Oreochromis niloticus: one gene and its partner. The protein of the gene in region 2 interacts with the protein of the main gene of each other region in a pairwise test. Links are inferred from orthologs where the notes say so. Each region holds a gene or a part of one and is shown on either strand. Other genes may lie near its edges. The genes, in order: si:dkeyp-72e1.9 and klhl42.

Region 1 (15,404 bases), on a different chromosome or scaffold from region 2:
ATAAAGGTGTTCACACCAAATATTCACTTTCAGATTCTCTGGATGCATGTCTCTTTGCAGGTTTCAGTAAATCACTGGACCCATTTCTCATTTTCCTAGCCAAATATATATTGTATAGCATACATATATGCATTTTACAAATGCATAAAAAATGCACACAAATTGTGTGCATTTTTTTTTTTTTATTCGTCAAATGAGAAAACAGAGCTGCCCTATGTACTCTGACTCTCTGAATTCTGTTATTTAATATTTATTACTTCTTTAAATGTAACATTTCAAGAATAATTGTAAACTTTATGTTCAGAACTTAAACATATGCAGTTTTATTTATATACTGCCAAATCACAAGTTGCCTTGACAGTGCACAAGTTCTTTATGCCATCAGCTTCTGCAAAAGTTACTAAACACCAAATCATGTAAGGCATCATCTTGGACATGTCAGCAATAATAGAGTAATACAGTTCTGTTCTGAGGAGATTTATACAACCACATAAATATATATGTGTGGACATATAAATATGGACATAAATATATCTATATAAAGCAGTTTTGCTTCACTGTGATGTTTGGCAGCTTGACAGTAGTTGCATTCGTGGACACGAGCTGTTTTTCTTGCTTAGGCACAAGTTGCAGCAGCACAGTGATAGTGGATAGTAGATAGTGGAAGTGGAGGATAAAAACAACAGCAGCTCCTGTATTCTTAACCCCACTCAGTTAAGTAGGTTATGGCTTTGACCTACTTCCCCTGGTTGGCAAACACAGTGATATGTACCTACTCTGCAAATCCCTTTAAAACGCAGAGTAATATTATTTTATTTACTCATTATCATGCTCCATCGCCAGTGGTTAGTGGAGGATGATTGAATAAGGCTATGTAGATGATTTAGACTTGGTGTAAAGAACTGTATTCTGTAAATTCATGGCTTCATCTCAGCTTGTATGTATTTGTTCAACTATTGGGTATAAAGTGTCAGACCACTACGTCCTGTGAGGTGAACAGTTTCTCTCAGAACTCAGGTTATGTTGACACACTTGCAGAAAGCTCTAGATCACAAGCTTTACTCACGAGGCCGAGTCTGAAGTGGATGTCAAGCTTGGAGAAGCTTCTCCTCTGATAAACCTGCTACACAAGGGATGACAATGTTGTTCTGCTTGTCATTCAGTTTCTCCCTAGCTAGTGTCTGACCTTCTTTCCTGTGCATCTTTGCTGATTTGATGACAGTTCTGTTGGGATAACCACATGTTTTAAGAACTTTCTATACATGTGTGTTCCTTTCCTTTCTCTTCTGCCCAGTGTTGCAGGGTCCTGATTACTCCAAGTTTGTGTTCCACGAGATGTTTGGAGTCAAAGAGTAGGTACTAGCCTGTCTGTGTGGGCTTCTGCTAAACTTCAGTGTTGAGGTTTCCATTCTCCTCAACACAGCACAGTCCAGAAATGGCAAACTATTATTCTTCTACTTCTTGGGTTTTGATTTTGACCCAGGTGTCATCCACATCTGTGCCGGTCTTTAGGTGCTGTTCCTCTGAAAGAACCAAAAACTTTACTTTCCACTTCCTCCTTATAAAGGTTGGCTACAATGGGTGACACTGGGGAGCCCATGGCACATCCATATTTTGATGTAGAAACCCTGGTTGTATGTGGTGGTAAGGCAGGGTGAAGCTGATTCTGTTTTCTATGGCGCGGTCTTGCTGTAGCTGTTTACTGACAGTTTCCACTGCCTCGGTTGTACAAGTGAAAAGGGAGACCACATTAGAGGACACGATGGTTTCATCTGGATCCAACTTCTTTGTGGATCTTTGGAAGTCCATATGTACAGGCCATAGCATGCCCTGGGTACAAACGGTGGTATGGAGGCCAATCCTTGTCTTTTCCTTTGGAGTTGTTGTAGACAGTTGGTGACTTTCTTTTTGTAGTTGTTTGTGGGGTCTCACGTTAAGGCTACATAGGTTGTTGTCACTGAGGAGTGTATGAATCTTGGTGTAATAATCAGTTGAGTTTAGAACAACAGTGCATGTCCCCTTGTCAGTTGGTAATATGGTGATGTTTTGGTCTTCACTCAGGGATGTGTTGGCCTTCTCTTATTGTACTGTGAGGTTAGACGGAGGAATTCAGGTTGTGTTAATTTGTTAATCCTCACTGTTTCCAAGACTGTGAAAAGATCCACTATTTGCAGCTGTTGTGGAGAAATGCCAAATTGGCTTTGGCTAGCACATTCTTTCAGGTTCACTGAGGTTCCTTTCCACCCACTTATCCTGTCTTTGGTTTGGTTGTCTTCCTGTTCTTGTCCAAATGGTCTAGGTGTTGGTAAGTTTTTGTTTGCAATGTATGGAACTTCCAAAATCGTTCTTTTCCTTTAATGTCTTGTGGAAAGTTTGCATTGTACACAAACTAATGGATCACTAAAGTCAATGTCATTTCATGGACATTTTTTATTAACTACGTTACATTACAGAGTACTAGCTACTTTTTGAGTAATCACTATTTGAATGTCTCCCTCACTGAATAAACTTGAGCTGTGTAAGCAGTCAGACAAGTGCAAGTGAAAAAATGAAAGAACTTTGGTTTGCAGGAGCTTAAGTTGAGCATCTTATTGAAGTTAAAGAGCCAGAGCAATAACTACAAGCAGCAACACATATGACCTCTGCAAGCACAAAGGAGAATAGTCGAGTGTTGAGGTGTGTTACTTGTGGGGACAGAAGTAAGAAAAGACTTACCTAGGCCATTCTCACAGTCTGTAAACTCCATGGAATGAACAGCTCGGTCGACTCCGTATGGACCCATTAGTGTCCTGTTAGAGGTGAATGGATAAAAAGGAAGCGGGAAGCAGGGAAGGGAAGGAGAGTGAGGAAGAAAAAGATGACGAAATAGGGAAAAAAAACCCAAAATCCAACTATTTTCTTTCACAGGCTGCACAGCTACACAGTCAGAATCCATAGGAGCACTATAGTGTTGGGAACTTAACCTCAGATAGCTTATCCTGACTAGGCCTGAGACTTTGTCACCACACAAGTCAAGGAGTGTGTCTTGAGTGTGTGCTGCAGATACTTGGTTGTGCAAATGAGAGTCTTCTATACATTATGTATATACATTACTGTCAAAAATCTTTCTCAAAATATGAACACAAAGGTGTATTTTTCCTCACACTGCTGTTTGAAGACAAGACCAAATACAGCTGTGACAGTAGCAGAGGAAGCAGAAATGAGACGGCAGCATTGGGTAACTCAAAAGCATCTTGGTAAGATCTCACACAGTGAGCAATAATCTCTGAGAGATAGAGCTGGCACACATGTTGTTCATCTTATGCAATAATGCCGCACAAGAGGACTGCACACTGCAGCTTTCCCCTTTTTTCTTCATTACTAATCCTCATCTAACACTTGCAAAGCATCCCTTTGCTTCCCTCATTAGACACTACAAAAGACAATGCAGAATACTGCAAATGAACAAACCATTTTTGGTATCTGGAACGATGTCTTTTTAGCACTTTATTTTAGTTTGCAGTTCCCTTCCTGTCTACACCCAAATGAAAAAAAAAGGACTATCAACATTTTAGCTGCAGAGGGTTCACCACTGCTGCCAGTAAAAACAATGAGGCTGAGGAAACTCTGAACTCCGGGCTTTATGAATGTCGCAGCAGAATGCAGCTCTGTGTACAGAATAACAGTCTTCAAGCTTCAAATTCTTTAGATGATATTCTGATAGCCCAGCTCATTGGCTGATAACACAAAGACGCAACATTCAGCATGGAGCTGGACATTTTAACATCATCTGTTAAGGATGGATATAGAAAGTCTCACACTAGAACACCTGAATTCACTGTTGTTCTTTGTATTTTTGTGGTTTGGATTCATTTTACTGCATTGGGTTGTTTTCGATCAATGGTCATGACAATTTGCATATTAATGATCAAGAAACTGACCTCACAGCCCGTTGTTCAGTGGTGCTAGTTTCAGTTTTTATGCAAATATACTGTTTATAAGGTTGGGGAAACCTGCACTTGAATGAGTGACGAAACGTTTATCCTACTGAAAATGCTACATCCACATTTTCCAAAAAGAATTTTGGATTTGTATTCCTCGGACCAGAGATCGGTTTTCCTCTTTGCTACAGACCATTTTAAATGAGCTTCGGTCCAGAGAATCATTGATCATATTCACATATGGCTTCTTCTTTGCAGGGTGGAACTTTAACCTGCATGTGTGGACAGTACGGCGAGTTGTGGTCCCACACAGGAAGTGTTTCTGAGCCCATGCATCGATTTCCACCACACAATTGTGCCTGTTTTTAATGCAATGCTGCTTGAAGGACCAAAGATCGCAAACAAAAAAAAAGAAAACGAAAGAAAATTGTGAAACTGCACCACAGTTTGTTGGCAGTTTTTTCATCAGCCTCTGCCTCTCCACGACACTCTTTTCATACCCAGCTGTGTTACTTACTAGTTAACCTAATTAGCTGCTAAATGTTACTCCAGCTGTTTCTTTTCAGTACCACTTACTTAGTTTTTGTTGCCCTGACCCAATTTTTTTGAAAGATGTTGATGCCATTTTCATGAAATACAGTCCTGATCAAAAGTTTAAGACCACTTGAAAAATGGCAAAAAATCCTATTTTGCATGGTTGGATCTTAACAAGGTTCCAAGTAGAGCTTCAACATGCAACAAGAAGAAATGGGAGTGAGGCAAAATATTTTTTGATCATGCAGTTTATTGAAAACAACACTTTCAAGTGGTCTTAAACTTTTGATCGGGACTGTAGTAAAATGTTTCAGTTTAAACATTTGATGCTTTCTCTATGTTCTATTGTGAATAAAATGTGTTTTTACACCACATCCCAACTTTTTTGGAATTGTGGTTGTACAAAGGTCACATTGGCCAGGAGTTGGAAAGCAGCCACGATGGTTCACGTAACATCTCCATATATATTTTAGAATCCAGCTGGTAAAATCCACAAAAAGCATTAAACCTCAAAACCAGCACAGGTCAGCTGATCAGTCATTTCCTGCCACTGAAGAGCTACAAAGGTTCCCCCCTTTCCCCAGTCCCAGTTTAACCCTCAGGTCTACAGGTACCGTTTGCTGAGTAATTGTCATAAAAAAAAAAAAATTGAGTGCACTGAGTTATATCACATTCAGACCAATACAGTGGCAAAAGTTAACCTGATGGGCATGACCACAGACAACATAACGGATGGATGAGGCCAATGTGAATCACCGACCGCTTTGTTTCCAACCTGGATATGGCAGTGAGGGGTGGATCCAGCTATGAAACCACCTGCTCATTGGTTAATGCCTTGTGTGTTTCCAGAGGTGACAGCAGATGCCCGTTTACCCATGTAACACTACAGGACTTACAGTCTTTTTGCAACTACAGCTACTAACCCCTGAATCCAGGTTCATACAGTCTATGGGCATGACAGGAGTCACGAATACACTCGCTGAAGCTTGGTGCCATTCAAAAACCTCAGTGGTTGTGTTGTTAGACACACATCGATGAAGTATAACTTGTGGCATGAGAAACATACTGTAAACATAACTGCACAATTCCCTGAAGCAGCTCCACACTGCCGACTGCATCATTCACCCTAACGGATAAAAAGTCGATGAGACAAGCTTCCAAAAGTCTGTCAGTAAATGTTCCAACTTTGGTAAAACATATCAACAAATCAGCAACATTTAAGGACAAAATCAAAGAGCCACACACAATAAAAGCACAGATTCAATATTAAATGTCCACAATGGAACCCGCTAATGCTCCCAACATGTTCATGAGAGCTGACAAAGTGCCTCATAGAGTCTTTTCACAGTAAACTTGGGACAGCACCTGGTCTCCGGTGTGGAGCTCATCCGTTTGTAGCACATGCAAGAAAGATCACTGCATCATCTCACCCGGAAAACTAGAACATATCGATAAGCCTGAGAGAAGAGCATGAAGCACGGCTCTGCCTGAGACACGAAGCAGAAACATGCGCCTGTGTTACAGACGGACAGTCAGCGTCACGGTTACCAGATAAAGCCCGAGAAGACACGCGGTGTGTTTGGTTTCCACGGGACAGGGCTATGGTTAGTAAACGCGTCTCCGTGTTTACAGAGTTCAGCTGTCAGCATCGTGTCACTCCACCGCTGCTGTCACACAGACTAACCTCCACCTGCACACACAACCGCTCGCTTTTACCTGCTGATGATCACAGCTCCTTTGTACATGACTGAAAACGTTGGCATGTTGACATGGAGCCCGGTTCTCCGGTGAGACAGGCGGAGGCTCGGTCGCAGCGTTCAGCCTTCAGCCAGCAGCCACATGACGGTGCACAGGCACTAATTCCAGCGAAGCAGCCTGTGCGCTCCAAACATCTCCACCTTCAGCCACACGGTTAATCTCTTACATAACTAAAGTCGGTGGAAAATGAAAAAAAAAAACCCCCTCTGAGGCTGGAAATGATTCGGTGGTTTGTTTCTCACACATTTCTCTCCCCACTTGTCATTTTCTCTTGCTGTGGCCGTGCAGCGGCTTTATTTTTGTTGCGGGGAACAGCTCCATTCAACGGAATCTGGCTTTTCCCCTCTCTGTGGATGTTTGTGCTACTTTTATGGTAACGTGTTTAATTGTGTTTGGCCACGTTACGCTTGAACATTAGTCTTTCCATAGATTCTACCCACACTTCCATTTGTATCAACCACAGCTTCTTTTAAGACGATATTGGCCATTGCGCTAACAAGTTGTTGAGCCAAAGAGAGGGAGGGGCTTACGAGCCTTTAAACACATTAATGCACAAGTGCCCTACTCTCCATTTAGAAACTGCAATTTAATCCCCAGATGACATCCATTACTCTGCCTTCATCTTTTGTCATTCAGACCTTCCGTGCTGTCATCTTCACTACTCAAACAACGATTCTTCATTTTGGCTGTATTTTGATCAGCTGATGTTACAAAAATGCGAGAAAGAAAAAGAAAAGTTACCACAGTGCTGTCTCAGCTCAGTGCTGCTAGGAAGGGTTTTTGGTTAGAGACAGCCTCATCCGTGATCCCTAAAATGAATTTAATGCAAAGACAAAATCAATCAATCAAATGGAGGCGACAACGCTTAAAGATACAACACTGATCACTGTAACTGAGCTGTTTGTTCAAAGTGATCAAAGCAAAAGAAATGTGCATACAGCCGAGCAATCCCACACTGATTCCACCCAGCAACATGACACAGGTGAAACCTGCTGAACCTGCCTGTGTTTGGATTCACTGTTACATTACACTACATTCATAAATGGGGGAGCGTTCCAGTATACACTCTGTGGTTTCTTTTTGATTGAATTTGGTGTGTAACTGTTCTAGATTTGAGGTGTAATTTTCTATCAGTAAAATATCCTTACTGGTAGGTACAGTACAAGTGGAGGTTTGAATAGAAAAAACACACTAAGTATATTTTTTAAGGTTCTTGCCTCTAAAATTCCCTGAAATTATCATTACATGTAGATCCTTACAGTGTCATTTACCAATGTCCAAAGCCACTTAATAATTCAAAAATACATAAACATTCTTTCTCATATGGTAATTTTAGTTGCTGAAAGTTACCCCCCTAAACGAATAAAGAAATCATGGTGACTGGTCAGTAATTACACCATTATCTGTGAGCTGTATTATGAAGTGCTGCCCCCAAATAAAGTTGCTGAGTGACACGGGCCTGAGGCTGCAGGAGGTCCAAGCAGAAGAAATCTTTGACACAAACGATAAATAACAGAAAAATTCGTAGGAACGTTTCCTGGAGCACCGGGTGCTGAGATATTTGTGAGCAGCTTCAGCCTGAGCCACGAAAACAGCTGAAAACCTACCTGGCAAATCCTAGAGGCACTTTGAGCCTTTGAAGCATGTCTGTGCTGTGGTGCAAAAGCCTGGATGTTAGCTTGTGGTTGTTAACATATACTCTGCATATTTCCAATCATGATGCACCGCAGCTGCCAAGCAGATATGGAGAGATGATATTGATGAAGACATGATAAGCTTATGCACACAAATCCATATGGCACAAGCACGTGCTAAATATAGGCCTCTGCAAGAAGGCTGTTCAAATACTCCAAGCACAGATCAGACTGTATGACACACACAGAGTTGTTACATCTCAGTGGGTTTATTTCTTGCTTTGTGTGTGAAACAGACTGCAGTCTGCTTTGCTTCAATCTGTTAAAACTTTTTAAATGTGTATTGCTATTACTTCACACTAAAGCTGCCCTAATTATCTTTACGTGTTTTCTCTTTCATTCCTGCTTCTTTACATTTTCTTCTTAACTCACTGAGTTCTAGTTACTGTGCATACTAACGTTTATTAGTTCCTAACTTTACATCAGTCTCTGAGCTTCTTCCTTTAGTTAACATTACTTCCTTTTTCTGTTTCTTGCATTTAGCTTTACTTCCTGCCTGTGGTTGTGTTGATTGTGTACACCTGTATCTAATTACCATTAGCATTTACTCTGTGTGTATAGTCCTGTTTGCCTCTGTTGAACAGTTTCTATTCTACGGTCTGTGTGTTTTTGGACTTTAACTTTCTAACAAAAGCTTGTTCTTGTGTTCTTGGAGCCTGCCGTCATGTCTGCAGTTGGTTCCTCAGTATTTTTGATATACAACCTGCATGTTTCCTGGAAAGTACATTTAAACTTTTAGTCTGTGCAACATAGATTGTTTTGGGAGACGTTTTTGCCATGTTAGGCTAAACACAAATTGATAAAAATACCAACAGATAAACAAAAGACACCCAGGCGTGTTCAGCATAAATAACACATTAATGATGTTTGAAGCATAAATCCTATCACTGATGTTACCATTACCAGCACTAAACTGCTATGTTAGTTGAATGTCCCCACTGACCTCTGTAGTCTTATTTAACACTCTGATTTTTAGGTTTTAAATCTGTTTTTGTTTTTTGTGAATCGGATGTCACTGATGGGATAAAGAGCCAAGATATGAATTGGAGTTTCACATCCATGTTTGAGGCTTGGCTGTGCGGAGATATCGCCTGCATGGGTTCATTTAGACACAGTAAATAGCTGTGCTCAGTGGGGCAAACAGGAGCCCAGAGAGAGCCAGCCTGGCAAGTCTGAAAAATGAACTCGGGTCTGTAACTTAGACACAGTTATCCTTATTACTGCTGCAGTATGGGGACTAGCCAGGCTTCCTCAGAGATCAGTTTCAGAGACTACTCAAAATGAATGAAAATGCAGAAGTGTATACTCAGTGCATTTCAGTTCAGGTGACTAAGATTTAAACCAGTCAGCTTATATTAGGCTGTTATATTGAACGATACTCATGCACTAATAAAAGATTCTATCTGTCCATGAACAAAATGACATAAACAAGCTAAATTTAATGAAACCAGTTGACGAGCAGATTAATCTGGTGTGGATCCACATCATATTCTTTAAAAGGACAGCAGTGTGGTTATTGATGCTGATAGACCCTGACGCTCTCTGAATTCTGTTCCGACTACACGCTGGATTCATGAATTCAGTCCGTGCTGGTAAATTCATCTTTTAAGCTTTTCAAAAACTGATCCTAGCCCAGTCTGACTATCACGTGGACTCACGTGTGATTACACACTCAGGTTTACAAGACCTAGTTAAAGATATTGTTATTAAAACAAAAAAGAACCTTACTGTTCAATCTTTCAGTTTTTCAGTTCAATAAAATATACCATTATTACAGTGACAGCAGAGATATAGTAAAAACAGTTCAAAACCATTAAACCAGTGAGTTGTCTAAAGCCAGGACAAGGTTTGTGATGTTTTTCAGCTGTTGGGATTAAAGAAACTGGAGTCTTTCCAGGCCCTTACCAAACCCTGAGGTCTTGTACTGACTCCAGAGACAGGATTTGGGAGCACAGATGTAAGCTTGGCTAATACTTGACTGCAGTGGTAGCCAACCTGAGATTTGTCTCCAAATGTGAAGCATCTCATCCTTTAGAGCCTGCACCAGGCAAGGCTTCACAGTCCCAGACACTTTCCACAAAACACAAACAGACCCTCATCACTAACTCGGCTGTCCACGCTGCATACAGTTCCCAAGCACTGGGAATACATTGGCTTTTAAACTGTAAATGCGGGCCAATAAATCCAGAGTTATGATAAAAAATATACATAAGCCTTGCTTTTCTTTAAATACTGTCGTCATGGTTTTTTTGTGTGTTTTTTAATTTTTTTAAGCGTTTTCTAAGGACAGCAAGAAAACAGTAAAGAAAGAAAAAAGCCACCTCTTTCCTATCGATGGGAAATTGTACCATTTTTTAAAAAAAAAGTCACGTGGGATTTGGTTGTTTAGGAAGAGGGGAAAGTTTTGGGAGTGAGGGTAACGGCAGCGAGTGAGAGAGCGAGCGAGTGAGAGAGAGAGTTTTTAGATGTGGGAGATTTGTGATGTTCAGCGTGGAGTGTATCATTAGTGTGTTGTGTTGTGTAGTCGTTGTTTTGTTTTGTGTGTCAGTGAGGGCACTAATGAATGTCACAAAAGCACATTTGTAATGTAAACACTGTCACTAAGTAGAAAACCAGCGGAGTGATACACCTGCTGCTGTCAGGCCTGCAGGTTTCTCCCTGTGCTGCTCTCCTCTGTCTTTTGTTACTGGCACACATCATTTGTGGGGCATCTTATTGCGAAACCTGATTGTTCTCTCATTTTAGTTTTAGTAATATTTTTAAATGGTTGTACAAAAGAAACCCTGCCAGGTGTATTGGCTGCATTTATAGATAAATAGTTGTATATGTTTACAAAATGTGTGCTTCACTTTTGAAAATGTACAATTTATATTTGCATTTCATGTTATAAAAATAATTTACTCAACATGTGTGTGTGGGGGGGGGGGGGGGGGGGGGGGTTACGGTAAAAAAAATACTACTAGGAATTTAAGTACGTTGTGTGATTTCAGATCAGTAATATTAATGCAGTATGTCAGTGAAAAAACAACTAAATTCAGACACATGAGGTTGAGCTGAAAAGAATGATACCAAACAAGGCAAGGGGAAAAAATACATTGAAACAATTTGAGGGTGAAATACAAACGTAAACTCAAAAGGAGTCAAAATGTCCGGTTGTATTTCAGACCTCAGTGGGTTCATCCAACAAATCATGAAAAATTAGGTTTAAATTTTTGTTCATGACAGTGCAGATTTCTGACATTTTGTGAAAAAAAACAGTGTGAAACTTAAGTTAGTCCTGTGTTTGTAAATGAACCGCCCCATGTTGTGTAGCTTTCTACATACTCATTGGGCTACATATTTATTTATTATATAGGCTGTACTGTAGATAAAATCAAAACTCACATGTTTTATGCAACTAAAGTGTTTAATTATGTGGGCTACAGACAATAATTAAGTTATAGACTATATTTATATGAAAAACATGTATATTTACTGCATTTGAATTATTTTAACCATATGTAACCACCTGCGTATGTGTTTGAAAAAAAAAGGCCTTGATTTTGCCACCCCATTTGATTTCTTTGCCACCCTAAGAAAATTTCTCTAGATCTGCCCCTGACTGTGAGAAATGATCAGGTGTGCTGTGGAACATTATCTGGTTCCACCTGATTGGTACTCTAAGCGAGCGGCGTGAGTAACGGGCAGAACAATGACATTCTCTACCACTAGAGGGCAGTACAACTACCTGCTCTAATAAAATGGGTTGCTGACTGGCAGTAAAACAGAAGAAGACGAGGAAGAAATAACATAATAGTCATGCTGTGAGTGAGACGATGCAGTGTGTAATAGCAACAGATAAATATTTGAAAAGAAAAAGTGTTCAGTCTGACCTGGTCCTGGAGAAAACTCTGACCCAGGTGAAGGCCCGAGCATGAGTAGTGGTTAGAAGGAAGCAACAAAGGTAAACTGGGGACAAACTGAGCCAGTTCTGCTATATCTGGTGGAAGACTTATCAGTATGCTTTTGGTGACATTTCTGTTTGGTGGTGTGCCGTGGGATTTTTCTAAAGTGAAATATGGACCGTGGCTCCAAACGGCTGGGAAACACTGGTGTAAACACACTGCATACTTCACTAAAACATCCCATTAGTTGTAAAGTTGCACATCTGAGCCATAAATGAGCTGAGACATCACTGCACTTCTTGTTGCTTTTCACATTATTTGTTTTATTTCTTTTTTGCCTGGGAGCATGAGCAGCTGAGTGAGTATGTGAGCGATGTGTGCTCTCCTTTGTTTACATTTGACAGTACTGAGGACATACGCACACACTGTTCTGTCTCTTTGTGCGGTCGTTTCCCAACAAATGAACACAGTGTGAGTCTACAGAAAAGAAATGATAGAGTGTTTTTTGAGATTTTATTTTGTATTAATTATCTAATGTCTTTGGTTCCATTGTGTTTGTGTTCTTCTGTAACACTTGAAGATTTTGACTGGTCAGAATTAAGATTTTAGTTTATTATGTATGTCTCTATATCATGTTGTGTAATGCTGCAGCACACGAATAAATATGTAAAGCCCACATCCCCACATCTCTCCTAGAAGTAACAAGGAACCTTTAAGCTTGACAGAAGTAGTTATTTGAATTCTATTTATCATCATATCTGTTTAAAGTGAGATAAGATATCACATAGCCTGTTCACCTGTGTGCAGTTCAGCTTCCTGTCTTACTTTGTCTGGTGTTTTATTTCCTGTCTGTCATCGTGCTGACTGACTTTAGCTGTCTGTAGTTCCCCAGGTATCTCCACTTCCCTTCTTACCTCCTGTGTATTTAAAGTCACTTTAGGCTCAGAGTGTCTGTGTTCATGGCTATTATCCCGACTCATGGCTGCTTTGCATAAGCCGTGGCATTTTGGATTCTATTTGTTGCCTTTGAATCTAAATTCCACCTTAATAACGGTTGTTTTGTCGTTGAAATAATAGCTCCAGGACAGAATAAATGATGGAAGACAACAGCAGCTCAACCCTGATAACTTACTGTAGCTCATTGTACCGCTGAAAGGAAGAGGAAAAAAATCATGGATGGCCAAGCCCTTACATGGGACTAATCATCAGCACACGGAGGAAGTTGCATTGTCATGTAGTTAGACGAGAGGCGGCACCAAATCCAGGCCATGAGGCCATGATGAGTAAAGAGCTTTAACCTGGAAGAAGCACAATCTAAAATGAAACAAAAAGAAACAGAGAAGCTTCCAACTAACACACAAAGTACGAGAGAGGACCACAAACAACGGAAACCTGAACCAAGGAACCAAGGACCAAGGACCCAACTACAGACATTAGATACACATAAGTAGTAATTAGACAATCATAACAATCATCAAGGAGGAAAATGACAAAAAGTTCAAGCATAATGAGAAACAACAAAAAGTCAACCTTGAAAGTAACACCTGAAATGATCACCGAAGAAGCAAACACAGCACATATACGAGACAGGGAACGACGATAGGTGATAGTACAAAAATAAAATCCAAATAGGAACCCAAACTCAAAAACAACAGAAGCATCAAAGCTCTCCATGGCTACTTACCCATGAAATCAGAACAGAATTCCAAGACAGAAATCCTGCCAGTGTCTAGACAAGGCCAGTGTTTAGGAACCCACAGCGGGAAGACTATGGACAGCTGGAGCTCCCACTGCCCAGCACTCAGATGTTTTCACAGTAAACTTTCTAAAAGCATCCATGAAGATGGCCCCCATGGTGAGTTTGAGCTGTCCTGACGCTGATCGATAACACGCACCAACGTATGGAGTGCAGCACAGCACCCCAGCCCTGCCTCCAGTTTGGAAGATAAGGGGAACTGCAGCTTGTGTCTATAAAAACATGCAGTTGGTTTTTGTCCCCATCTTTGACTTGCCTGCTCTGGAGTTTAAGTCTTACATTCATCAGTATCTCCTTTCCTCTCATATCCATGTTTCATTGATTTGGGTTTTTTTTTTCTTTGCATATTTCTCAAATGGCAAAGGAATGTTTTGGGTAATCCACCTAAATGAGACTTTAATTTGGGTGACTTGTTCACTTTCATCAGCAGCTGAATTGCATAACACATGAAATCCGGCATGTTTTAAACTAATACCTAGAGCAGCTTAGCAGTTCTTCAAAGCATCTTTCAAAGATGCTTTGAAGAACTTCAGGGTGCTTTGAGCCACTGGACTAAAAGCAGCAGGCTGCAAATGGTTTTTGTCTGTTTGGTGAGTTTAATGTTGAGATCCTGGGCTTTTTTTCATTACATTATTTGAAAAAAAAATTTAAAGCAAACTTTTATACCTTTGATTCATAATTTTTGCATTTTTGACATGCCAGCATTCTTTTCTCTTCCATTAAAGAGTCTGTCTGTTAACTGCTGGTGAGTTAAAGTATTAAAAGAGATTCCTGCAGGCTGTAAACAAGAGGTCCAAAAGTGCCTGTTGTTCTTGGAGGAACTTTTCCAAGAACTGGAAGTGTCTCCCTTGTTATGTGCAGCAATCAAGGATGATGATAACTGTTATAATTGTGCATGTCCTCCTGAGATTAGCCTGACCACAGCAGTTTTATCCAGGCCTGAAAGAAAATCGGTCCTGGCATTCAGCACGCAGTTTTCAGCCTCTGTTAAGCATGGGGGTTAAACTGATTCTGGATGCTTAATGAGGAAGTCCTTCAAGGAGGTGCAAGTGAGCAGGGAGAGGCCTTAGAGGCCTTTATTTGCCTGTAATAATGGAGTTAACCAAGAGGCTATGAAGAGCATCTGTCATGCAGCTGTACAGAAACACTGTGAACACTCACAAGGAAAAGAGCCAGACTGCAAACAGACAAAGGTGAAACAGTGTTTGAGTAAAGAAAACTGGAACTCTAGAGAGAGACCATCACAAACATACTGAAAATGAAAACATGAGCTTCTATAAAAAGAAAGAAATCCAACACTTTGTCCTCCAAAAAGTTTGGCCCTCAGCCCTGAAGCTAAAACATCTGACAATAGAAAAGTGAATTAAAAGAGAATCCATTTTGAGAATTCAAACATTTTCATCACACAGAGATTTATTTTCTTCTTTTGCCATGGCAACGACCATTTGCCTCGGAACTTTAATCACTAAATCCCCACAGTGGGTCATTATCAGATTAGGAGATTATCCAATCCACACTGAGAAATCAAACAGGCTGGACCCAATCACTGCGAGACATACGCACCCGTGCTCCTCCACACATATTTGTAAATCTTTTGTTATCATGATGGCATGTGCATGTGTGTATGTGTGTGTATGTGTATAAGAGACTGAGAGTGAGAGAGACAGCACGAGTGTATGTAACAGAAAGTGACAGAAAGAGACAAGGAAAACTAAAAAGATGGTTGATCCTTCTCAAGTATTTCCAGTTACAAGGCTGCCCCCTAGAGAAAGGGAGCTGCACTGCATTTTCTGGAAGATGAAAGTGTGGAAGGATACCATTACTGATGTATATGTTTGTACAGTTGAGTGGTGTGAGT
Region 2 (15,805 bases):
ACAGAAATGTCACGCTGTAAAGGTTAGAGTGACACAGCATGTGAAAAATATACAGGATCCAGGCTGTGCGCAAAACTAGACGAACAATAAAACGGTGTTAATTTCCAGTTTTTCAAAAAATTCATTTTAACTTCACGGTCTGCAAATATATCTCTCAAAGCTGTGTCTGAAAACTGTCACTTGTCAAACAGTCTCTGATGCATTAACTGCAAATAAACAGCACACCATTTTGTCCCAAATGCTCATCCAGCGAACCTCTCGCCTACGGGAGGGAAAACTCATCCCCACAGTGATGCTGCAGACTTTTCAGTCTTTAGAAATTCATAGAAAATAAACAAAAACGAATATTTTGCATGTTAAACTAGAAGTTTTGAAAGTTGGACTTCAGCTTGGTTTTCACATGCTGGGTCACACAAAGAGGTTATGTTGTTAAAGGTCTGTACGTGATATAATTTACACTGTTTGTATTGAAAAATTTTTCTCATCTGAAATATATTTATAAAATGTTGGAAATAAACTAATAATAATAATATTAATATTATTAATGATAGATCAGTTTCTCGATGGTCTCAATACAACAGACTGGCGTGATTTTACACGAAGAGCCTGACATGTGTGGTAGAAGTGCAAGCATTGCTCCAGCGGGCCTGACCGGTGTATTCTGGGGTTTACAGTCACCATCCGATTGTTGTTGTTTTTTTTAAAGACATAAATGTCTCAAAGACGAACCAACTACCGCCATCAGAATGAAATACTAGGTGTGATCATAAAGTTTGTGACTTTGGCTGAACTTCCTGTGATTTTTTGGAGATTGTTGCTTTGCAGTCTCAGTCTGACCACTGGTACTCGACATCCCTTCAAAATAAAGTTACTCTTGGGAAAAGGGATGAAGTTGTAGTGTTTCTCCAATGATATTTAATGATAGTGTTTCTCAAATGATATTTGAGAAACACTCAAACATTATTTCCAGGACCCTAAAAGACTATTTTAACCATATGAATGCTGTTCCTCCACCTTTCAAATCTGCAATCCAACCAACATGTGCTCATCCAGATGGTCAGAAGAGACTTTTTGAGGGTTGTGGAAATGCCTTCAAATGGCAGCACCAGCTGGTTCTGTGTTTTCTAAACTTCACCTGGTGATTATTTGATGGTGACTGCTGACTTTAACACATGAGAGGCACAAACTGGTGCTACCTCTGATGATGCTTTGGGCCACACTTGTGATTATAGCTTTTCCATTTGCATCCACAGCAGTATCTTTAGCGTAGTGCACGTTTTTTCAAGTTTTTTAATCCGAGGCACGGCGGTCACGAGGCATTCAAACTGCCAACCACACCCTGACGCCACAGATCCCCAATGAGTGCAAGAATAATCGGTCTGTTAACGGTGTTCGAGCTTTCCCACCGCTCTGCCGGTCACAGCACGTTAGGAAGGTAAAGTGAGCAGAGCAGCATGTTCTGTCCCAGAGCCGGGAAGCGCCTGAAGGCCTCCCAAGCATCGGAGAAAATGTTGTATTTGAGAAAAACGCGGTGCTCCAGGCTGGTGGGCAGGCTGACGTCCCGGCTCATGATGTAGATGCCGTCGTTGTGCAGCGTGCACGTCAGGTTCAGTCCCGACTTGGACGTGTTCTCCTTCAGCTGGAGCCACTCCCCCGTGGTGACGTTGTACGACTGCACCGTCAGCACGTCCTCTGTTTGGCTGGGACGTCGCCGCCGCAGCCCCGTGTCCAGCTCGTGGGTGTAGCCACCCACCAGGTAGATGGTGTCCTCCACGGAGAGCATCTGCTGCTTCCGGATGTGAGCCGGGCAGGATCGGAACGTCGTCCAGGTGTCAGAGATGGGGCAGTATCGGAGGATGTTTGTGTTCCTCTCTGTCCAGTGTAATGAATGGGAAGAAGAAGAAGAAGAAAAAAAACTTTACAAGAGTAATTGTTACATATTTAATATTAGAAAGCCCAAAATACAAAACGCAGTGACTGAATAATTAACAAAGAGAAACGTAAGAAGGTGCTCCAACATAAACAAACCGATAATAAAATAAAGAATAGTTTTTAAATTTTATAAAATCTCCTACAACCTGGGAGATGCATTCAAGTTGCTCATCTTATTTAAACAAAAACCCAAATATGGAAGCAATAACCGCTTTAATATCCTGTTCACCCAGCAGCGCTAAATCCCTTATAATTAAGGATATATAAGAGATAATCCGGGACAAGGTGTCCTGATTATAAACGATATGTTGCTGACTGGTAAAGGGATAAATACACATTAAAATGAAGAGTTTATAGGATTATAAGAAGCAGGAACAGCTCAGTAGACCCAAATATGAAGGATCCAAATAAATAAATTACTCATTATAGAAATAATGAGTAATTCAGAGATCAGTCTGGATGTGTAGTCACTACCTTACGGTGCATGAGCAGTCCATGCTTTAACTTTAAAAGTTTAATAACTTTTTGTGTTATTTCTCATTTCAATTATATTTTTGTCTTTTTGCTTATAGGATTTATTATTTTTTACTTTACTTAAAATTCACGTTGGGCACTAAAATGTGACATGGACATAATGATTCTAATGAATGTCTTTAGAGTAGTTTTTTTAAAAAGGGTCAAAAAGTGATCTAATTTTGTTTAAGAAAAGTAAACTGCAGCTCAAGAAGAACTGAATCTGAGAATATAAACAGCTGTAGGTAAGAAAGATCCAAAAACTTCTGGTGGGTGCAGCAAAGCCTGCGTCTCTAGCAGCCAGCAGGGGGCAGATTGTTAAATTGTACAGAAGTGCATGAGAAAAGGTCCTCGGCTCCCTCTTAGTATGAACTCAGTAAACACTTTGCTGATGAGTTTATGGCTGCAAAGCACATTATGTTTGTTTTGTAAACTGTGGTCCCATTAGAGTCAAAAAGGAGGGTGAAGCTGGATGTTTCAGACTTTGTTATGAACAAATCACCATAAGAAGCTGCAGTGTGGAAACGCGATCAGATTTGGATAATCCCAAATCTTTTATAGTGAGGAACGGAAAACAAAGAAAGGGATGGATACACTTCTGTTTGTGCTGTTGTCTTGTACAGCACTGTGACAGTGTTACAATAAAGCATTAACGGTATGTAAAACATCTACTTCAAACTGTCAACAGCGACAAAACAACACAAGGACAACGTGACAAACACCACAGCCAACTGAGAGGAGGTGCAACAATACAACAAAAGTAAATCTGAATTCACACAAAGTCATTTTCGGTTTAACTCACTTTTTACTTAGTCACCTCACAGTATAAGGAAAAGACACTATCCTGGGTATCTGTGTTCTGTTTGTTCCTCTTCTCTCGCTTCCCTTATTTTAAGCCTACTTTTTTCCCCTTGTGACGATTAAACTTAACAAAACAGACATCTTGATGTTTTCAGTAAAACGTGCCTGCCTTGATATAAGCGTTCCAGTTACCTGACACTAAAAGTAAAAAACAGATGATCCCTTATGAGCAGCACATGGCGACAGCAGGGAGGAAGAACTCCCTTTACCAGGAAGTCTTCTCCAACAGAATCACTGTGAGGTGCAGCCATCTGTTGAGACTAACCGCAGGCTAAAGATACCATACCGCCATCAGGGAAGTTTTTACTCTGTGGAATTAAGTTATGTTTTTTCCCTTCATTTCTCAGAGGCTTTTTGGAGGAGTTATAACTACAGTGCCATGAAAAAGTAGTAGTCAGGACTGGGTGTGGCTAAGTGAAACTGAACTCAGTTTTCTAAAAAATGCGGTTAATCACAATTAATCTATGATTTAACATAGATAACATAGTTAACATATTTACTTTTTCACACAGGGCAGGTAGATTTGGATAACTTTTTTCTCTTAATAAATGAAATTATCTTTTAAAGACTGCATTTTGTATTTACTCAGGTTATCTTTGTCTATCATGTCTATTAAAACTTATTTGATGATCTAAAACATGACAGATATGTAAAAATCTATGTATTTTAAATACCACAGTTGAAGTGTATAAATCATCCTTGTGTAGGACTCACACTGTGGTTTCTGCTGTGAAATGATTCATGTCACCTTTAACCTCCAAATGTGGGCCTTTTTTGCTCCTTAAAAAATAAAAAGTAAACTATTCATCTGGTGTGCATGGACACAAGTCAGTGCAGGTCAAAGTTCATGTCAAGGAGAAAGAATCACTAGATGAAAATTCACAGTTACTCTCCAAACTGTTGTCGGACTGTGTTGGCGTGTTAGTGTATATGTTACTGTAGCTCCTGTACACACACCTCTCGCAGTGTATCCACCCATGACGTAGATCATACCCTGGCACTCACAGGCAGAGAACTCAGCCAGCGGGTCGGGCATCGAGGAGACGCAGGTCCACCAGTCCTGCTCAGGGCTGTAACACTCCACTGTGCCCAGACACTGGCCTCCCACAGCGTACAGCTTTCCCTGTACGGCCAGCAGCTTGAAGTTGGACCTGCACGAGAAGAATCAGTGATTGAAACGCGATGGCAAACAACCAATAAGGACCAAGAGGGGACTTGTGTTACCTCTTCTGGTTGAGCGGCGCCACCTGGTTCCACTCATTCCTGCAGGGGTTGTAGCAGTGCACAGCGGAGATCTCCTGACTCGTCATCCTGTACCCGCCGACTATGAACAAGTAGTTATCGAGGATGGCCGACCCATACCCCCTGACGTTGATCATATCTGGAGGGAGGTTATTGGCGAGGGGCTTCCAGCGCTGATCCACCTCTCCATACCTCAGCATGGACCAGGGCTCATCCTGATCCGGCACATCCAGGGACAGGCTGGTGAAGTCTCCGATGGCCACCAGGGTGGCAGTGCCATTCATGCGCATCTCCTTGACTTGGTCCCTGACAGCAGAGGCCAGGCTGCTGAACTCAGGCCGCCTCAGCATGGGGTGGTAGTAGCAGGTCATGTATTTGAGGCAGGCGGTACGCAGGTCGTGAGTCCCATACACCTCGGAGAGGCTATACAGCTCCACGCAGTTCTCCAGCCGGATCTCCGAAGTGAGGAGCTTAAGGATGGAGGTGACCTGGAGGAAGGAGGCGGTCTCGATCAGGTCCTCCAGAGTCTCGTTGACTACCTGGACTTTGGAGGTGTTGATGAACTCCAGGACCAGCTCCAATCCAAGGACGCTGAGCCCCTGCAGCTGCACCGAGTCCTCCGTGGACTCCCTCATCCCCGAGCTGTACAGAGCTCGGAAGTAGTCACTCTTCTCGATCAGCTTCTTTTTATTCACTTCGTAGGTTTTGTCATCCATGATGATGGCGATGATCTGCTCGGATGACATGGTGAAGATGGTGGTTTTGGTCTCTCAGGCTGAGTTTTGTCTTTGCTTTCCCTTTCTCAGTCTCCCGAGCCCGTGGCCGTTTACATTTCACCGGCCAGGGAGCTCCGTGCCCGGTCTATATATGGTAATGTTCAGCCCGTAGATCGCCATGGAGCTGGGAAGCTAATCAGCTAGCTGCAGAGGCGCTGCTACCGCTCCCGGATAAACCGGCCAAAAGAAGCTTTTCCCCGCGATGGCATTCCTCCACAACTAGGCCCCACTTTCTGAGAATGTTGGTTGAATATCGCGGTTTGTTTCTCAGCCTGCCAGGAAGGTTTTCATAACATTTTACGAGCCTTGTGAGGGACAATGTCGAGCTGTCAAATTTAACTGTTTTGATTCTGCACCCCACATCATATGCGTCTTCTTCTTCCATTGGAATTATCGGCAGATTAGGCGTATCAAAGACACCTTACTGCCCCCAGCAGGTCATTAGTAGAATTACATAACATGGTTTAAATTAATGATAAGTTGAATGTTTGATCAACTTTTTGATTAGGCTATTGATTGTTGTTATTGTTTATTCATTTATTTCTAATTACTTGTTTTATTTACTTTGGCTAATTTTGATTAGTTAGTCGTTAATATTTATTTAGGTTTTTTTAATTAAATAAAATTTAATTTGGGGTTTTGTAAGAGATGCTATTGGCTATGGTCACCTCAGCTTGACCATAATTTCTTCATATTTTGGTTCCAAGGAGCCAGACTTTCTTGTCATTTTTAAAGTGGACTTGAGCAACAGTTCTCCAGGATTTCTGAATATCTTTTATCTAAGTTTTTCTTTGGACATTGGCTGATTTTTTAATCATTTTCAGTCCAGTTCTTGTACCTATTTACAGAAGAATGATTTCCACTTATTAGGTCATTTAACACTAACCCTTGAGTCCATGAAGCACTAAAAAAAAACAACAATGCTGTGTCTTGCAATAATACATATATGACAAACATAACATAACAAAACAAAATGTAAAATAAATATTATAAAGTATATAAACAAAGTAACGGTACCTTGGAGTTGTGTCACTGGCGTTGCTGATTAAGAAAAGCCTTTTATTTTGAAGGAAAACACCGCGGTGCCGACATCTAATGACTTCCTGTAACATGTTTCCTGCAGCTCTGCAAAAAAATTGGTCTAGTGAGTCCAGTATCTCTTTTCATTTTTCAGACCTTTTTTTTTATAGCATAATTTCATATGAAGCTTTTAGTTGAAGTTGTTAGGGAACTGAAAAAGAAAGAAGAAAGAAATTTTGTGAGAAAAACAAGACTGACAACATGTGGTTTGATGCCCTGTAGCTGCCATTTTAGAAAAAAAAATTAATAGAAGTTGTCACTGGTATCACCTTGATTATGAATCACAACAGACCTGTTACAACTAACTAACACCACTGTTAACCATTAACAGAAAAAAAAACTTAATCGAAAGCTCTTCATGAAGTTTTAAAATAATAATAATTACTATTAGTAGTAGTAGTAGTAGTAGTAATATTATTAGTATTATTAATCCTGTGTCTAAATCAATTCCACCCAATCCCTGGGTGGTTTATTGTGTCACTGATGTTACTGTGCTTTGGGGTTTGGGGAATTTTTTTTCCATTGTCACAGCAAATGAACTCTGCCAAACTGTACAAGATCCATTGATTTCTGTTACACTTAAGGGTCAACATCAAAAGGATTGTGACACTACTCACTATAACAGTTGCATAGCAAATAAATGGCTTCACAAATGAACAAACACTGTGCAATCACACTTAACAAATGAAAATAAGAAAACATAATCCCCTGATTTGTTGCATTATGAGTATTCTTATGCAAGTCCGACTACATGTGCTGAAGAGACTGAGGAAATAATATTTATCAAAAGCCTTTTATATTGCAGAAGGAGTGAGGTAACACCATCCAGTCTGTAAGTTGATGTACAAAAAGAGATTAAAAATCATTAATCTGTCTTTTTTGTGAATATTAAAGTGAACATGTTATGTTATAACATGATCTATGTGTAAACATTAGAAAAATAAATCAATTTTAGGACATTTCACCATCGCCAATTCGGAGTTTATGTAGAATGACCCATAAATACAGACAGTTCAGTTTTAAAAATGTTGAATCCTTGTTACACGGTGCTTTATTTTTAGGTATAACTAGTTATTGTAATGCTGCAGAGAGAAAATTACAAACTAAATAAATGTTTAGAAAATATTTTTACATTTATTGTATTTTAAATTATAAACTTTTTTCCATCAGATGCAGATCTCATTATTCACATTAATGATTAACTCTCTTCACTAACTAATATTCAGAGACATTTATTTTAAGATCTTACACAGTTTTTACTGAGAAAAAGGACACCGGTGCACTGCATAGATTTTTAATTAAAAATAATAATAATAACCACACATTGTAAAACCCTGGAGAATAAACACAGGACAAAGGTGTTGTGATAAAAATTGAGGTTCATAGGACGTAACAAGACAGCTTTAATTTGAAAACCTGTACCGGAAACGATTTTTATTATCAGCCTGTTGACGCTGTTGTGGGTGGAGGAGGGGAGAATAGGTGAGACAAGCAGGCGGGAGCATCAATGATAGGGACTCTTCTCGTGCGGCCCGCTTCGTGTTTGCGGCTCCAGGCAGCGGACACCCGGCGCTCTGTGACCCGGACTGAGGATGAGGGAGCAAGCGTGGGCCTCCCGGTCCGCACGCTGCAGCTTTTTACTCAGCATCGCCACCACCACCACCACCATCATCATCATCATCATCGCCGCTCATACATCATCAGTTAAAGGCGCCGGAGACCTGCGGCCGTGTAATAAGGTAAGCGCCTGTGCTGTCATCGTTATTATAATTATAATATCTGCTGCTTTTTAAAAACACAGATCCCGCTCCGCTTTGCTTTTTCTTTATCCTAGAATAAATGATCAGGGCAACAAGTCAAAATGGCCATGCATGCAGGAGTAAATGTGCAGAATAGATTAAGATAAAATAAAATAAAATAAAATAAAGAAAAGAAAAGAAGGATTAAAAAAACAAAAATAAATAAAAACAATGTAAGGGCTCCAAGTCGTTTTGCTGCTTTACATTGGCTCGGCTCAGCTCGGGTCTGGATCTATGCGCGCCTCGTCCTTCACGTCGCTGATCGGCTTAAAATGCCGTTCATGTTGACTATAAACACCCAGCTGGAATCCTTCTCTCATCCCCTTCTGAGCAGCCTCATGCCGGCCAGCCCGACCGGGATTACTCGCTGAGGAGGACAGAGAAAGGCTGCTGGCACGGTTCGCTCTCTCAAGCCTGTAAGGATGACTTGAAGGAATAGAAAAAGAACCTTTTTGCCCTCTAGATCAGCGGTCCCCAACCTTTTTTGCGCCACGGACCGGTTTATGCCCGACAATATTTTCACGGACCGGCAATGAGGTGTCGCGGATGAATACAACAAAATAAAACTAGTGCCGGTACCGAAAAAAAGAAGATTTATTCATAACACACGTGAAAAGACCCAAGAAAACCGAGTTAACGATAAAAACGATAACAAAATAACGTTGAAAACCGATAAAAACCCTGAAAACCATACGTTTCACACCTGAGCCTCAACTCTCGCGGCCCGGTACCAAACGACTCACGGACCGGTACCGGTCCGAGGCCCGGGGGTTGGGGACCGCTGCTCTAGATGGTGAGATTTTCATGCGAGGACTGATACTCTGTAAATGAAAAAATAGCTTTATTCTTATGGTCACTAGGGGGCGACAGCTGTGGTTGAAAATCGAAGTCCGGTTATGAAGAAATGTGTGATCCGGCAAACACTTTTAGCGATTATTTATGGACTCATTTGCTAGTTTTTAGTAATACTGAACAGATCGAACACTAAAAGTGCTTTATATTGTGAGATAAGTATCCTGCCATATTAAAGAGAGAATGATGAGCCTGTGGGCAAGGACATGGTGAAAGAGGGGAGGAAGAACTTTCTTTTAGCAGGAACAGACCACAGCAAAATGTTAGCATTCAAAATATCTTAAAAATATGTCATACCAGGATAAATATGTATCCTTATCACTGAAGATTAGACTCTGTATAACATATATATGACAACAAAAATTTCATATGGGTTAACAAAAACAAGTTTATTTAGTTTGTTAAATCAAAGTGACTTATTTAATATCCTTCTCTGTGAATACACTCCTGCATTTTATGACGTCCTGCCTTCACCTGGTCCAGAGAAAAGCTGCTAGTTATGAACCACTTGAGTATTTAAAACAGAAAACAAAAATAAAAAAGTTAATAAAGTGCATGCAATCCTAGCTAACATTATCCTGTTAGATAGTTAACTAAGTTATCAGTTACTGCAAACACTGTGGCAGTCACAACTCCATATAATGTCAGACAATATAAATAAACTATAAATGTTCTGAAAGCTAAAAAAAGTACAATTAAAATAGGAAATAACAACTACTGATCATTAACCGGATCACTGTGCATGTAAATTGAAGCACAATTCAACTGTGCTATTACTTTTGAGGTCACAAATTAAGTTTAATGGCCACTTACTATCATTTCCTATTGAAATGCACAATACAAGAGGGTTAGTGAACCTTTCATCTAACTCTTGGCAAAAATAATAGAAGCAAATGTCTCTAAATGGTAAATAAAAATGTTCCACATCTTAATATAACTCAATAACTAAAAAACTCAGCATCATTTCTCGTCAGAGTTTGAATTCTGGGTAATAAAATAGGATCCAGCCTCTGTTAAATTACAGTTCACTGCCATCAGTCTGTAAAATCAATAAAACCTACCGCACCCTGCATCAAGGAGCCGCTAAGCCACTGGGAGCAGTTATCATTATTAGATTAGATGAGATTCAGCTTGATAGCTGTCACACAAAACATGGAAATACAGCATTTAAAGAGGTGTGAAATGTCTGAACAATGGTACAAAATGAATACGTGACGGAAAACATCAGCAAAGTCTCGATCATTCTCAGTCTCACTCATTTTCAGTCCAGTCCTTGTACCTGACCTTTTTTTTGTTTGTTGAACCTGTTAACACTGACCTATGAAACATTCAAGTACACAAAAGGCACCAAACTCAAGGGGTGAAGCAATGTTGTGTCTATACATAACAGACAACAAAGAACTAACTTTAAATGTCATCTTTAGGCACTTTGTTATCAACAGTCTGTCATATAAACATATTGGTTCCGATTTCTTTAGTTGAATGTATAAAAAATGTCAACGATGACATATTTTGATCCACCATCCAAAACCATCAGGAAATCATCTGATTGGCAACATTGGCTTACATTTTCGGCATGACAACAAATTCTAGGCACAATGTCATGGGTTGGCCTCCCCAGAGCCCGGATATAAACATTACTGAATAAGTGTGGGGTCATCTAAAGGAAGCCTACATCCAAAGAAGAGCTTTGAATGTCGTTCAAGAAGAAATTCAAGAAGGCTGGAAGTCTTTTACTATGGAATCTGGGACCTGCTGTGCATTGTGGGATTAGTAGTTCCTTTATTGATAAACATAATTACATGTATCCAGTATTGCACCGTTGCCCTTGTTAAAATCTTTTCTTTATCCTTTTGGTCCAAATCAAATTTTTTTAGTATCATGGGTCATCTTGTGGCTGGCTGGTTTGATTCAAGGCTTTAAACTCTTTATATAAGGATTTTCTGAACATGGAGAAAATGAATGGGGAATTTTACTTTAGGAGTGAGGGGCCTTAAAAAAGCGGGCACTGAAAAGTTGATTCCTTATTTTAGCTAACAATAGCAGAAATAAGGGATAAACTGTTGAAATGGTGACTAAACATCATGTTAGGCAGGGAAAAATTAAAATTACTGGTGGTTTAAACACTGAGTGTAGGTGTACATCAAAATAAAGCATGAGAAGTGGTGTTACTAAGGGGGGTCTTTACATCACCTGAATGGGCTTTCTGGGTATGTCAGATGAAAACGGTTGGAAACCTGACTGATAAAGCATAAACAGTTAGCAGTGATATAACAGCTGTGTGCTGTTTTCTAAAGATGACCTTAATACAGCTTCAGAAGTTTCCAGATGTTTTTTTTCTGCACTTAAAAGAATACATTGTTAGAGAGATTAGGGTCCTATCAAATCCTCAAACCTCTGCTGTAAAGAGGCACTGAATTTTATCCCGTCCCTGCTCGCTTCCTTCCATCAGTCTCTATGACAACCGGCGTGAGTCACCCAGGAGACCAGCGAAAGGCATTAGCCCGTGTCCTTTTCTTTTTTATCAGCGTCACCTTTCCCCCACTGTCAGCACATTAGCCCTCTTTGTGTGCAGAAACACAGAAAGGTGAATCTGAGCGCAGGTGATGCTGCTGCTCGCACGGCAAAGCCTCCGTTTGAATGTTTGCTGGCGTGTTTGTCGGAGGGGGTGCGGCATGAATGGCCATGTTTGTTGCTGCGGCGAGGTGATTAGTCATTTAAAAGAGCTCAGGCTTATCTGCACCACGCACACGCATCTGACATCTGAAAGCCATCGCTCTGGCACCGATTGACTCTGTCAGGTTTATCGCTGCGATTGTTTCAGTTTAATTAGCTGCTGCTCGGATGTCGGTCGGCGCTCCGCTGATTTGTTTGTCCAGTTGAACAGCAGGATCGGGGGAGGAGATGGAGATCTGCCAGAGCGAGGCTTTGGACTCAGAGGAAGTTGCTTTAAAAGTACAAAAAATGCTTTTCTTTAGGTTTTGTTGTGCTGCCGCCACTAATAATTATTTTCACACTGATTCATTTGTGGATTGGTCACCATAATGTGTGAAATTCAAAACTATAAGCTAGCATCACTCAACAAGTCCAATATCAGCTGATGCATGGACAGCTGGCTGGACTTGACTGGTTTCTAAAATGGAAAACAGGTGAAAACACGTGTTACTAATTACATTAATCAAGTGTAATTTCTGTGACTAGTGACACCCGAGTTTACCTTCTATTTCATATCAAAGTAGCTGCTGTGAAATACTAATAGGTGGTATAAAAGATACAAATGAGCATGCCAAAGATAAGCCTCATTATATATATTAAATGAACTTCATATTTTATTCAGCGCAGCTTGAAAAAACTAGTGACTGACACAAAGAAGTCAGCAGGAAGGTTTTTATTTGGGGCTACAGATCAATTCAGGTTCCCCATATGCTCTTATACAACCGGAGGTTATAAATAAATACATTATAAATAGTATGTAAGACATTTTTTCATTATTACTTGTTGGGGCCTCGTTGTAAGATTTAAATATTTAAAAAAATTATTAAAGCAAACATAAAAACAGGATGTTATTCAAATACAATGTGTAGAATAGAATAAAAATCTAAACAAGGTACCAAAACCCTGAAAAAGCTCTGTTTTAGTGCCCTTTAAAATTAAGGGCACTAAAAAAGAGTGCCTGTGGATGAGCATTCAGTTCCCTCAATGAGCATGAGGTCACAGCCAGCAGTCCTTTGATAAGATGACCCGCTAACACGCTCTTAATGGACCATTAGAGGACCGGCGGATGGTTGCTGTGGACATCGAGGTCAGCCATCTTTTTACCCTGTAAAAGTCTCCATGCTCTCCTTTGTACGACCAGCTTTTGTTTAATGTGGAATCAGCAGCAGTGCAGTGTTGTTACTGTCAGGCTACACAGGGTCAGCTCTTATTGGGGAAGCTATGTTGTACTGTATGTGTGTGTAGCCTGTACCGGCAAATTAGGCAACATTAGGCAAACAGTGCTAAGGGGAAAAATTTGAAACCACCAGTCATTTTTGGTCCAGTTTAACCTATCCACCAATCCACAGATTTACTATTTCGTCCATTAGGACTTTCATTCTTTACTCACACACGTGTGGTATTTAAAATGTTGTCTACAGTGTAGTTCTTGATGACTCTGATGAAAGGCACAGCCTCACCAGGAAAAACGTGAGGTTTGGTGGGTACAAACAACCTCGACCTGATGATGATGCTAGATGAAAACTCAGAGTATCACCAGCAGTGTTGGGATTCCCTCTGAGGAAAATCTAACAATAGCTATACAGCTGTTTCACTCAAACCCACAAATATGAACCTTGAGTCAGGGAATCATCAACGTGAAACAGCCTCATCTCCTAGGAACCATGAATGGATACCTTATTGATCTTTCTATCTGCGTGTCTGTGTGTGTTTGTGTGTGTGTTCACCATGCAGTCAGACTACTACTACCAGTACACAGAGTGCGACAGCACAGGGTCACGATGGAGGGTCGCCATCCCTGTGCATCCAGGCTCCTGCTCAGATCTTCCTCCTCCAACCAGAGGCACTGAATGCTGTGAGTACCACCACAGTGTGTGTGTGTGTGTGTGTGCACATGCCAACACAACCTCTCTGTTCCCTCAGCCTTCTCATGCCCGGCTGGGAAGTTTTTGGAGATGTCCACACAGCAGTGCACGCCGTGTGCGGCCGGTTCTTATTCTTTGGGCAGCGGCCTTCGTTTTGACCAATGGGACGCCATCCCTGCGGGCTTCACCAGCTTGGCCAGCTTCCTCGACACCGGGCCGAATGGAGAGGACATTCAGGCCTGTAAAAGGTGGCGCACACAGCATTACCATTACCATGGAGATGGGTATTCATGTATTATTGAATATATAACAAGATGGAGTATGCTGCCGCTGTGTTTTGCTCTCGTTGCAGCTCATCGTGGACGCCGCAGGGCGTGTATCTGGAGTCCAACCGTGACGAGTGCACGGTGTCCCTGGTTTATGCCGTACATCTGGAAAAACAGGGCTCTGTCTCCTTCACCTACCAGTACCCCGACAACAACATCTTCTTTGAGTTCTATGTAAGCACCTGTAACTAAAATAGTAAATAAAACCAAGAGTAGCCGTGTTTTATTTGATTTATTGACAATTTAGATGATTAGTGATTGTAAATTGGTTGTAGAAGACTACCCGTGTGCAGTGTGCTCAGCTTCTCGCCCAGCTTGGTTAAAGTTTTTCGTAACTTGTGTTGCTCGTAAACTATTTCCTTGAGAGTTTTGTGAAAAATTTTGGTCCAAATCACTAATTTTTTATATGAGATAAGATGAGAATTTCTCATAATTACAGTAGCAAAATGAATAGAGCACCAATAAAAAATAAACTATAATAATACTACACAATAACAGAGTACACTCCACAAAGTAGAAATAAATAAATTTAAACATAAATATGATTCATTCTGTTTATGCTACTAAAAAACTTACATGCAAGACCTTTAAAATCTTGCTATGAAAGAAGACATTTTTAATTATTCTTATATTGGTTAATGAATAATGAAGGTAGTCAGGAGGCGGCTGAGCTTACATTTGCGCAGAGAAACAGTTATACTGCAGGTATTTCTTAGCAGTTGAGTTTTCAGTTTGTATGAGCTTGACTTGTTTTTAAGCCTATGTCATACAGATGAAATGTAGTGCTTTAAAAAGTCAAACACAAGGCTGTGCAAGTTTATTCAATTTATACTCTGGGTGTAGCATTTGTCCATATCCACAGTGAATTTAATAGAAGGTAAATGTTGAAGAAGAGTCATTTTTGTTTGTTTGTATGGATAATAACCTCTGCGTTAACTTGTTCTCAGGTCCAGAATGAGCAATGCCAGGAAATGGCTCAGACTGACGATCAGAAATGGATAAAAGTCACCAACAATGGAGAATGGGACACACACACGGTGAGCACGTGTTTCTGCCTGTGTGTGCAAGCTGCTGCAGTATCATGTGATGTGTGGCTCACTGTATCCACCTTTGCCTCAGGTGAGCCTGAAGTCTGGTACCAACATCCTGTACTGGAGAACCACTGGGATACTGGTGGGGGGGAAGATGGTCAAGCCTGTGCTGCTGAAGAACATCCAAATAGAAGGTAAAACTTGACCTCCAGCTCACGGTCGGATGCTTTTTGCAGGTGTGTGTATACTTAAAGCGTCTCCACACTTTTGTCCAGGTGTCGCCTACACATCCGAGTGTTTCCCGTGCCGACCCGGGTGGTTCAGGTCGACCCCCGGCTCCTCATCCTGCCAGCCCTGCCCCAGCAACACTTACTCTGTGAAAGGGGCGTCCTCCTGTACGCCCTGCCCCGAACACCACTACTCACGTACGTACAGGACACCCAACAGCACCACAACAAACAGTGTTTACATTATTTCAGTCATAATATAAACAGTGTAAGCTCTCTCTCTCATGTTTGACATGGTGAACTTACAGTAATAATAAGCTTGCATATTTCTTGATAGGAGACGGGTAAGTCTTTCACCTTAGGAAACACCTTCCCTCATAATAATAATAGATTCGTTTAGTTTTAGCACCTCGTTGGTCTCTGCTGATGCTCATCCTGCCTCTGTGTTTGCCTCCTCTCTCAGACGAGGGATGGGCTGAATGTAAGGTGAAGCCGCCGTGCTCGGAGAAGGATTACTTCCAGATCCACAAAGCCTGTGACAGCGACGGGAAGGTCAGCAGCGCTTGCATGTTTCATATTTCTCTCT

Evidence for each region.
Region 1: the proteins of klhl42 (region 2) and si:dkeyp-72e1.9 interact in a two-hybrid assay, tested with the Homo sapiens proteins (2 studies listed by BioGRID and IntAct). The two-hybrid records come from large-scale screens. The link is inferred for Oreochromis niloticus from reciprocal best matches to the Homo sapiens genes KLHL42 and STXBP4.

The regions. Positions count from the first base shown.
Region 1 is NC_031969.2:438,903-454,306, forward strand, and holds the start of si:dkeyp-72e1.9 (syntaxin-binding protein 4), read right to left. Parts: upstream 6,134-15,404; 5' UTR 6,104-6,133; coding exon 6,003-6,103; intron 2,790-6,002; coding exon 2,716-2,789; intron 1-2,715. UniProt on the Homo sapiens protein: Plays a role in the translocation of transport vesicles from the cytoplasm to the plasma membrane. Inhibits the translocation of SLC2A4 from intracellular vesicles to the plasma membrane by STX4A binding and preventing the interaction between STX4A and VAMP2.
Region 2 is NC_031981.2:17,141,820-17,157,624, forward strand, and holds klhl42 (kelch-like protein 42), read right to left. Parts: upstream 5,717-15,805; 5' UTR 5,295-5,716; coding exon 4,531-5,294; intron 4,458-4,530; coding exon 4,264-4,457; intron 1,873-4,263; coding exon 1,418-1,872; 3' UTR 1,049-1,417; downstream 1-1,048. Other genes in the region: UPF0577 protein KIAA1324-like, read left to right, coding at 7,997-8,143, 13,505-13,625, 13,694-13,883, 13,988-14,135, 14,909-14,998, 15,081-15,186, 15,268-15,417, 15,683-15,771. UniProt on the Homo sapiens protein: Substrate-specific adapter of a BCR (BTB-CUL3-RBX1) E3 ubiquitin-protein ligase complex required for mitotic progression and cytokinesis. The BCR(KLHL42) E3 ubiquitin ligase complex mediates the ubiquitination and subsequent degradation of KATNA1.